Linked DNA regions of Macaca fascicularis. The protein of the gene in region 1 binds, or shares a complex with, the protein of each later gene. Links are inferred from orthologs where the notes say so. Each region holds a gene or a part of one and is shown in the gene's direction. Other genes may lie near its edges. The genes, in order: NCOA5 and ESR2.

Region 1 (3,819 bases):
AGACCCCATGTACGACAGATACAGAGACATGAGAGACTCCCGAGATCCTATGTACAGGTACATACATAGTTACTCTGCTTGTTTTTTCCGTAAGTTCTTTTTTATGTATGTTCTGCTAAACTAATTGAAAGCTCCGTAAGAGCAATAATTTTATCAGCCTTATATTTCTAGTGACTGTCGAGTGGTAGATGTGCTGCTGCTCAATAAATTTTGCTGAATGTATGAATGATTTTAAACATTTTTAACAGAAAATAACAGTGTTCGAAAGGTATGGAGAAATTGAAACCATCAGAAATTGCAAGTAGGTATGCAAATTGGTATAGCCACTATGGAAAACAGTTTGGCAGTTCCTTAAAAAGTTAAACATAGAATTACCATATGATCTATCAGTTCCACTCCTGAGTATACACTCAAAAGGATTGAAAAGAGGGACTCAGATAGTTGTACATGAATATGCATAACAGTACGATTCATAATAACCAAAAGGTAAAAACAATTCAGATGTCTGTCAGCAGATTAATAGATCTTTTTTTCTTTGAGACAAGGTCTCATTCTGTTTCCCAGGCTGGAGTGCAGTAGCATGATCACAGCTCACTGCAGCCTTGACCTCCCAGGCTTAAGTAATCCTCCCACCTGAGCCGGGCGCGGTGGCTCACGCCTGTAATCCCAGCACTTTGGGAGGCTGAGGCGGGCGGATCACAAGGTCAGGAGATCGAGACCATCCTGGCTAACACGGTGAAACCCCGTCTCTACTAAAAATACAAAAAATTAGCCGGGTGTGGTGGTGGGCACCTGTGGTCCCAGCTACTCGGGAGGCTGAGGCGGGAGAATGGCGTGGGCCCAGGACGCGGAGCTTGCAGTGAGCCGAGATCGCGCCACTGCACTCCAGCCTGGGCGACAGAGCGAGACTCCGTCTCACAAAAAAAAAAAAAATCCTCCCACCTCAGCCTCGCAAGTAGCTGGAACTACAGGCATACGCCACCACACCTGGGTAGCTTTTTGTATAGATGTAGAGTCTCACTATGTTGCCCAGGCTGGTCTTGAACTCCTGAGCTCAAGGTATCCTCCTGCCTTGGCCTCCCAAAGTGCTGAGATTACAGGTGTAAGCCACTGCATCTGATGTGGATTTTTTTTTAAGTGATGTATTCATATAATGTGGTATCACTCAACCATAAAATGGAATGAAGTTCTGATCTGTGTTACAGCATGAAGGATGTTGAAAACATTATGCTAAGTGAAATAAGCCAGACACAAGACAAATATTGTATGATTTCACTTATATGAAATATCAAGAATAGGCAAATTTATAGAGACAGAAAGTAGATTAAAGATTACCAGTGGCTGGAAAGAGGGGAGTTATTATTTCACAAATGCAGAATTTGTTTGAGGTGATGAAAAATTTTAGATAGATAATGGTGGTGATTACACAACATTGTGAATATAGTGCCACTGAATTGTATACTTAAAAATTGTTAGGCCAGGCACGGTGGCTCACGCCTGTAATCCCAGCACTTTGGGAGGCTGAGGTTGGCGGATTGCCCGAGCTCAGGAGTTCAAGACCAACCTAGGCAACGTGGCAAAACTCCCGTCTCTACTAAAAAAATAAAAATAATAAATAAAAATTGTTAAAATGGCAAATTATTGTTACATACGTTTAAGTATAATTTTAAAAAGCACAAGGGAGGGACGTGTAATGTTTCCTCAAAACTAATATCAATAATTCCTGCCAGTTATTTTGCATTTAATATATGCCAAAGACTATGCTAAGTGCTTTCTGTACATCATCTCTGTTCATCCCTTCCCATCATTTTGTGAGACAGGTTAACTATCACAGCCACAGAGCTGATATGCAGTGAGTCTCAGATATAAACCTCATTTGTCTAATCCCAAAGAATTCTCTAGATGATTTTTTCAGTATAGGACACAGTTTTATCATTATGAAAATTTCCTTAACTTTTTAGGAGAGAAGGCTCTTATGACCGATACCTACGAATGGATGACTATTGCAGGAGAAAGGATGACTCTTATTTTGACCGTTACAGAGATAGCTTTGATGGACGAGGCCCTCCAGGCCCAGAAAGTCAGTCTCGTGCAAAAGGTAAAGTAGCTGAAACAGTCTATTCCTGTTAGTGATAGAACACTTTACAAAAGAGAAAGGAAATTAATAACCAGTACCCCATCTGAAAAAGGGCTAGTGACTTGGCCAAACAGTGTATGAAAAGAAGAAATACAAGTAGCTTATTAGTGGGTAAAGGGCATTTGGCTTGAAAATGATTTTTAAGATGCAAATTAGTACCATCATCTGGTTTAGACATCCAACAAGAAGAAATAAATATTAAATTCCAGCAATAAGAAATGAACAAAATACTGGTCACTGTGGCCACCACCTGTAATCCTAGCACTTTGGAAGGCCAAGACCATCAGATCACTTGAGCCCAGGAGTTCAAGACCAGCTTGAGCAACATAGTAAAACCCCATCGCTACAGAAAAATACAAAAATTATCCGGGTGCAGTGCTGCACGCCTGTAGTCCCAGCTACTCGGGGGGCTGAGGTAGGAGGATCACTGGAGCCTAGGATGTTGAGGTCTCAGCAAGCCATGATTGTGCCACTGCACTCCAACCCGGGTGACAGTGAGACCCTGTCTCAAAAAAAAAAGAAAAATGAACAAAAGATTGGAGCTTAATACATTAAGTGCTTGTTTTTTGCTTGCTGACCAGATAACTATGACTGACTATCTGCATTATCTATGCAAAATAGGCTTTTGGTTTTGCGTAACTTTTACCTAATAGCATCTCTTTTTTAGATGAAGACAAACATGTCTTTTTAAAGCCTGGTTTTTCTCAATACATCTTTAAAGTTTCTTAAATTACCTCATACCTGGCTAAGTTGAAATCTTTAAGAACCTCATTTTTAATTTTAATTTTTTAATTTTAAACTTTACTACTTGATTTTTTTCTTTTAAAACAAGAACTTTCAAAATTTTTAATTTTAAACTTTACTACTTTTTTTTTTTTTTCAAAAAAAAGTCATCAAAAATGCAGATTAGAATAATAATGAATACTATTCTTATCTGTCAAGTTGGTAAGACTTAAAAAGAATGCCAGTACTCAGTGTTAACTAAGGTGTAGAGAAATAGGTACTAGATGATCTACGTCTGTGGAGGTATAAATTAGTACCAGCCTTCCCACGGAGCAGCTTGGCAGTAAGTATCAGATGCAGCATTAAAATGGCCATGCCCTGGGCCGGGTGCAGTGGTTCACACCTGTAATCCCAGCACTTTGGGAGGCCGAGGTGGGTAGATCACGAGATCAGGGGTTCGAGACCAGCCTGACCAACATGGTGAAACCCCGTCTCTACTAAAAATACAAAAATTAGCTGGGCATGGTGGCGGGTGCCTGTAATCCCAGCTACTCAGGAGGCTAAGGCAGGAGAATTGCTTGAACCCGGGAGGTGGAGGTTTCTGTGAGCTGAGATCGCACCACTGCGCTCCAGCTTGGGCAACAGAGCAAGACTCCATCTCAAAAAAAAATGGCCATGCCCTTTAATCCAGCCATTACATTTTGGTTAATTTTTAATAGTAAAAAATACTAATGCTGGCTATTTTTAGGAGATAGACCAAAGGATTGATTCAGAGATGACCTTTGCCTACAAGTAGCTCAGGATTTAAAATGAGGCCTGTGGCTTGTTTTTATAGAAGGGTCCAGTCCTTATTTCAGTTTACCCTGGTGGTGTCTTGCAGAGCGTTTGAAACGTGAGGAACGGCGTAGAGAAGAGCTTTATCGTCAATATTTTGAGGAAATCCAGAGACGCTTTGATGC
Region 2 (4,345 bases), on another chromosome or scaffold:
AGGAGGAGGAGTATATGGGAACTGGGTACCTTGAGGGACCCCAGGACAGGGGACAGGGAGGCTGAGGTTGGCATGTTGTCCACTGCATTTATTTGCCAGCGACACACTCTTCCTGTCCAAACTAACTTCTCTGCCTCAAGGACCGGGAGACTCTGCCTTTCAACCTGAGAGAAACCAGGTCAGCTTTAATGAAAATTGGAGTTGGTGTGGGGCAGTGGAGGCTTTTCACAGCTATTGTTTAGCTGATGAAGCAGGTGCTTCTCCATCTTTGGAGCCTGTCTTCATTACCTGCGGACCTCATCCTTATCAACCCGGAGCACACTTGTGTCTATTTTGGCTAAACACTAAACAGTTGAGGCTGGTACTGTAAAAGGTTCCCTCCAAATGCCCCCTTGGTCTTCCTCTGTTAGAGATCTGGATCACAACCCTCAAAAACCATGTCCCTTATGCCACCTGAGTGGTTTGATGATTAATTAGGCACAGATGTGACACTGGGTTCTCGCAATGGCCTGTGGGTCACACGTTACTTTCCTTTTAATTTTCATCAGCAGCAGCTGCCTTAAAGCCAGTTAAGATGGTGGTCGCAGTCTCACACCCTGAGGCTCCTCCTGGGTTGGGTGAGGGGAACACCCCGTTAAGCTGGGGGAACTGGGGCTGCCACCAGGAGGCGCGAGGGGCCTTCGCCTGAGGAGAGGGGTGGGCAGGTACCTCCAGCCGAGAAGGGCGCAGCGGCCGGAGGCACAGGTCTCCCCAGTGCCACTTCCACCAAGTGAGTTCGAGGAAGTACCTGGGATCTTTGATCTAACGCGAAAGGCCTTCCTAGCGAGCTCTTGAGAGCTGAGAACCCACGCCCTCCACCTCTAGTCCACGGCTTTGCCACTCCAGGACCCGAAGTTAACGTATGCTGCTGGGGATTGACAAACCCAAAGCCTCTCTGGTTTCACCACTGGCTCCTTAGAATCAGACTTCTGTACTGAATGACACTTATGTGAGTCAGGGGCTGGGGGGACGTGATCCTCGAAGTGTGGTCCCCAGACTGGCTGTATCAGTGTCGGCATCCCGCAGGACCTGGTTGGAAATGCATGTTCTTAGGCCCTACTACAGACCTCTTAAATCTGAGACTGCGGCTGCGGGGAGCGCCATCTGTGCGCCACTATCCTTGGGGGTGGACCAGGAGGCGGCTCGAGGGTGCTCCCACTTTGGGGTCACGCGCGGCGCCGGGCGCTCCTGAGACCGCCGGGCTCCCGGGCTCGGTGGTCACGTGGGCTCAGGCACTACTCCCCTCTACCCTCCTCTCGGTCTTTAAAAGGAAGAAGGGGCTTATCGTTTAGTCGCTTGTGATCTTTTCAGTTTCTCCAGCTGCTGGCTTTTTGGACACCCACTCCCCCGCTCGGAGGCAGTTGCAAGCGCAGTGGCTGCGAGAAATAACTGCCTCTTGAAACTTGCAGGGCGGAGAGCAGGCGGCGAGCGCTGGGCCGGGGAGGGACCACCCGAGCTGCGACGGGCCCCGGGGCTGCGGGGCAGGGCTGGCGCCCCGAGCCTGGGCTGCAGGAGCTGCGCTCGCTTTCCTCAACAGGTGGCCGCGGGGCGCGCGCCAGGAGCCCCATAATGCTGGAAAAGCACGTGTCCGCATTTTAGAGAAGGCAAGGCCCGTGTGTTTATCTGCAAGGTAAGCGCCCCTTCGCTCGAGATGTCATTTAATTGTCTCATTTTGTTTGAAATCCTGCGGTGAGAAACCAGTCGTGTTGAGAACAATAAAAGACCAAAAAAACGGTCACCAAAACCAACTGTCTTGAAAGCTACTGGAAAGATGGAAAATGTATGCTTTGATTAAATGTCTTCATTCAAGACACCGGCAAGTTAACTTATTTAGTTTGTGCTGTGAGCTCTGGGTTGCTTGTGCTAATATGAATGTCTGAAAAACTTTTTTTTTTCCTGTGGTTTTCCTCGATGGATTTCCCCACTGTGGGTGAAATGACAGTGGAGTTGAACACACTTTCTGATTGAAATTTGAGGGCCTAGGAAGATGTACACGTCTCAGGCAGATGATAGGGGTTTTAAAATGTATTAATTGGCATTCCTTAGCCATATCAGCAAGCTGCGTTCCTCCTTTCCTGGGCAGACCAAGCTAAGCTCTATCTGGTCTCCTTTATTTGCTGAAGAGGAGTCCAACAACTGCCTTCTAACACCCTGTGTGTTATTCTTCTGGGAAGGATAATATTAAGTCAAGTGAATGTTATATTTGTGGAAAAAACTTTGAGTGGACTTCTATTTAGGAAAGTAAGGTTGATTTACTTTTACTTGCTGTTTAAAAAGCAGGATTGTGTTTGGGTGTGGTAGGCAACATTTTGAAGGAAAGAGTTTGCCTTATTTTGCTTTATTTCTAGTATTTACATGGGCATTCCATTAGAAAGTTTTATTTTTGCTCTAAGTTTCGTGACTCAGTGTCTAGTGAGGGGAAAGATGTTTGTCATTTAAAGAGTGAACATGTGAAAGGAAAGACTTTTCTGAGAGTGTTGTAAAAAGCAAATGTAATGTGACTATGAAAAGAATATGATTAACATCTTTGACTCCTATTTTTTCTGAAGAAAATGTATTTTGACATGAGTTCTAGAGGGAAACTAAGGATCTGTTTATCAATAGGCATTAGAGTATACACCTTAGGATTGCATTTTACGTTCAAGCAATTTTTTAGATGAATTTCTGAAACGTTCTCATTTTAAAAGCCATGAGACACTTGTTAACACTGAAGTCTTGCTCAAGACATAGAAGTCGCTGAAATCAATTAACATGTTTAGGACACATTTCGTAGTGTTCTGAGGGATGTGAATAAATCACAGTTTGCATTTCTCAGAATGTATTTATAATTCAGAAAAGGTAAAATTTAGTAGCAAATTCAACCCATAACCATATAATTAACATTTAATAGATATTGATATGTTCACTTTTAAGAATAAGACAATGAGATTTTCTTTAAGTGTGTATTGAACACATAATGATTCAAAATTCATCTTGTGATAAGTTTAGGTGATGTTTTGAGTCATTTTATAGAATATAAATGTGGATAAAATATAAAATACTGAAGGCTGAACTTGAAGTGTTTAATGGTAAGTTTTTGATAATACATCTAGAACCCTTGAGAATTGTATGCTTGAACGTTAGATGTCATAATTCAGTGTCTAGCACACTGTTTTATGTGCAATAGCACTTAAAAAAATTAGGCTACTGCAGTATAATTTACATACAGTAAAATTTAGCCTCTGTAAGTGTACCTCTATGAATTCTGACAGATGCACAGTCATGTAACCAGCACCACAGACAAGACACAAGACAGTTCCATCACCCCAAAAGTCCCCTTTGTACCTCCACCTACCCCACTGCCCCTGAAAATGACTGATTAAAACTACATAATAAGTATGTAGTTTTGCTCTTTAGTGTGTTTTTACTTAGACATATTTTCCTTCACTTTTTTTTGAAAGAAAAACCTGTTTTTCCCTTTTTATAGGATGAGTCAGTTTGTGGTATTTTGAATTCTAGTACCTTGGGATAAATCAAGGCAAAGACAATGCTACTTGCAAATGGGAAACTAGAGACTTGGACTAAGTGTTAAATTCATATAGGGCTAATAGATTTAGTTCTTCGCAGATTTAGATTCTATTGTGGTTTAAACCTTTGGTTATGGCATATATCATTAGTTATCCTGAACTGAAATACAAGGCCATTAAAAGTTATTTATATCATATTAGTAGAATGCATCATTCTGGTATAATCTTTGAATTTTAAAACTTCTATATTAAAAAAAAAACTACTTTCATTATACCTGAGATTAAGAAAGCTACCTGAAATTGCATATTATCAAATAGTGAGAAGCAAAAGAGGGTTTGAAAATGACAAATTGAAGACATTTAAAATGCAGAGTGATTACAATTGCTGAAGGTAAAATATTTATCTTCATAGGGGCTTAGGTCTGTACCCAACTTATTTGTAGATGTCAGGATTTTTAAATTTCTCTGCTCATGTCTTAAAGTCTAGATTTTCCTGGTGGGTGGAGATGCAAAATGTTTTGTAAACTAATAGTTTTCACTGTTTAATACAGTATTCAATTCAGTATGCAGTTAGGAGCCTGTTATTGGTAGGTACTGCTAATATACATATATAAAATTGATGTTTTTTTCCTTTTTCCTTTGTTCTATGAAAAACAGCCTGTATTTTAAATATGTAACTTACCTTGCATACCCAGTTACAGTGGTAGTAACTAGGATATGCAGAGTAGCAAGTTTATGAGGAACCAGCAAACTGGATAGTTGGCCTTCCTAGCTGGAATTATGACAGGTCTTGAAAATGA

What was found.
Region 2: the proteins of NCOA5 (region 1) and ESR2 are in contact, whole or in part, in a crystal structure (PDB 4ZI1), measured with the Homo sapiens proteins. The link is inferred for Macaca fascicularis from reciprocal best matches to the Homo sapiens genes NCOA5 and ESR2. Residues at the interface, in NP_066018.1 of Homo sapiens: Ser344, Leu345, Ile346, Leu348, Leu349, Ala350, Asp351; in NP_001428.1 of Homo sapiens: Ile310, Lys314, Phe319, Leu324, Gln327, Val328, Leu331, Glu332, Leu490, Glu493, Met494.

What each region holds. Positions count from the first base shown.
Region 1 is NC_088384.1:102,116,637-102,120,455, reverse strand, and holds part of NCOA5 (nuclear receptor coactivator 5), read left to right. Parts: coding exon 1-57; intron 58-1,961; coding exon 1,962-2,098; intron 2,099-3,740; coding exon 3,741-3,819. UniProt on the Homo sapiens protein: Nuclear receptor coregulator that can have both coactivator and corepressor functions.
Region 2 is NC_088381.1:132,127,478-132,131,822, reverse strand, and holds the start of ESR2 (estrogen receptor beta), read left to right. Parts: upstream 1-1,333; 5' UTR 1,334-1,669; intron 1,670-4,345.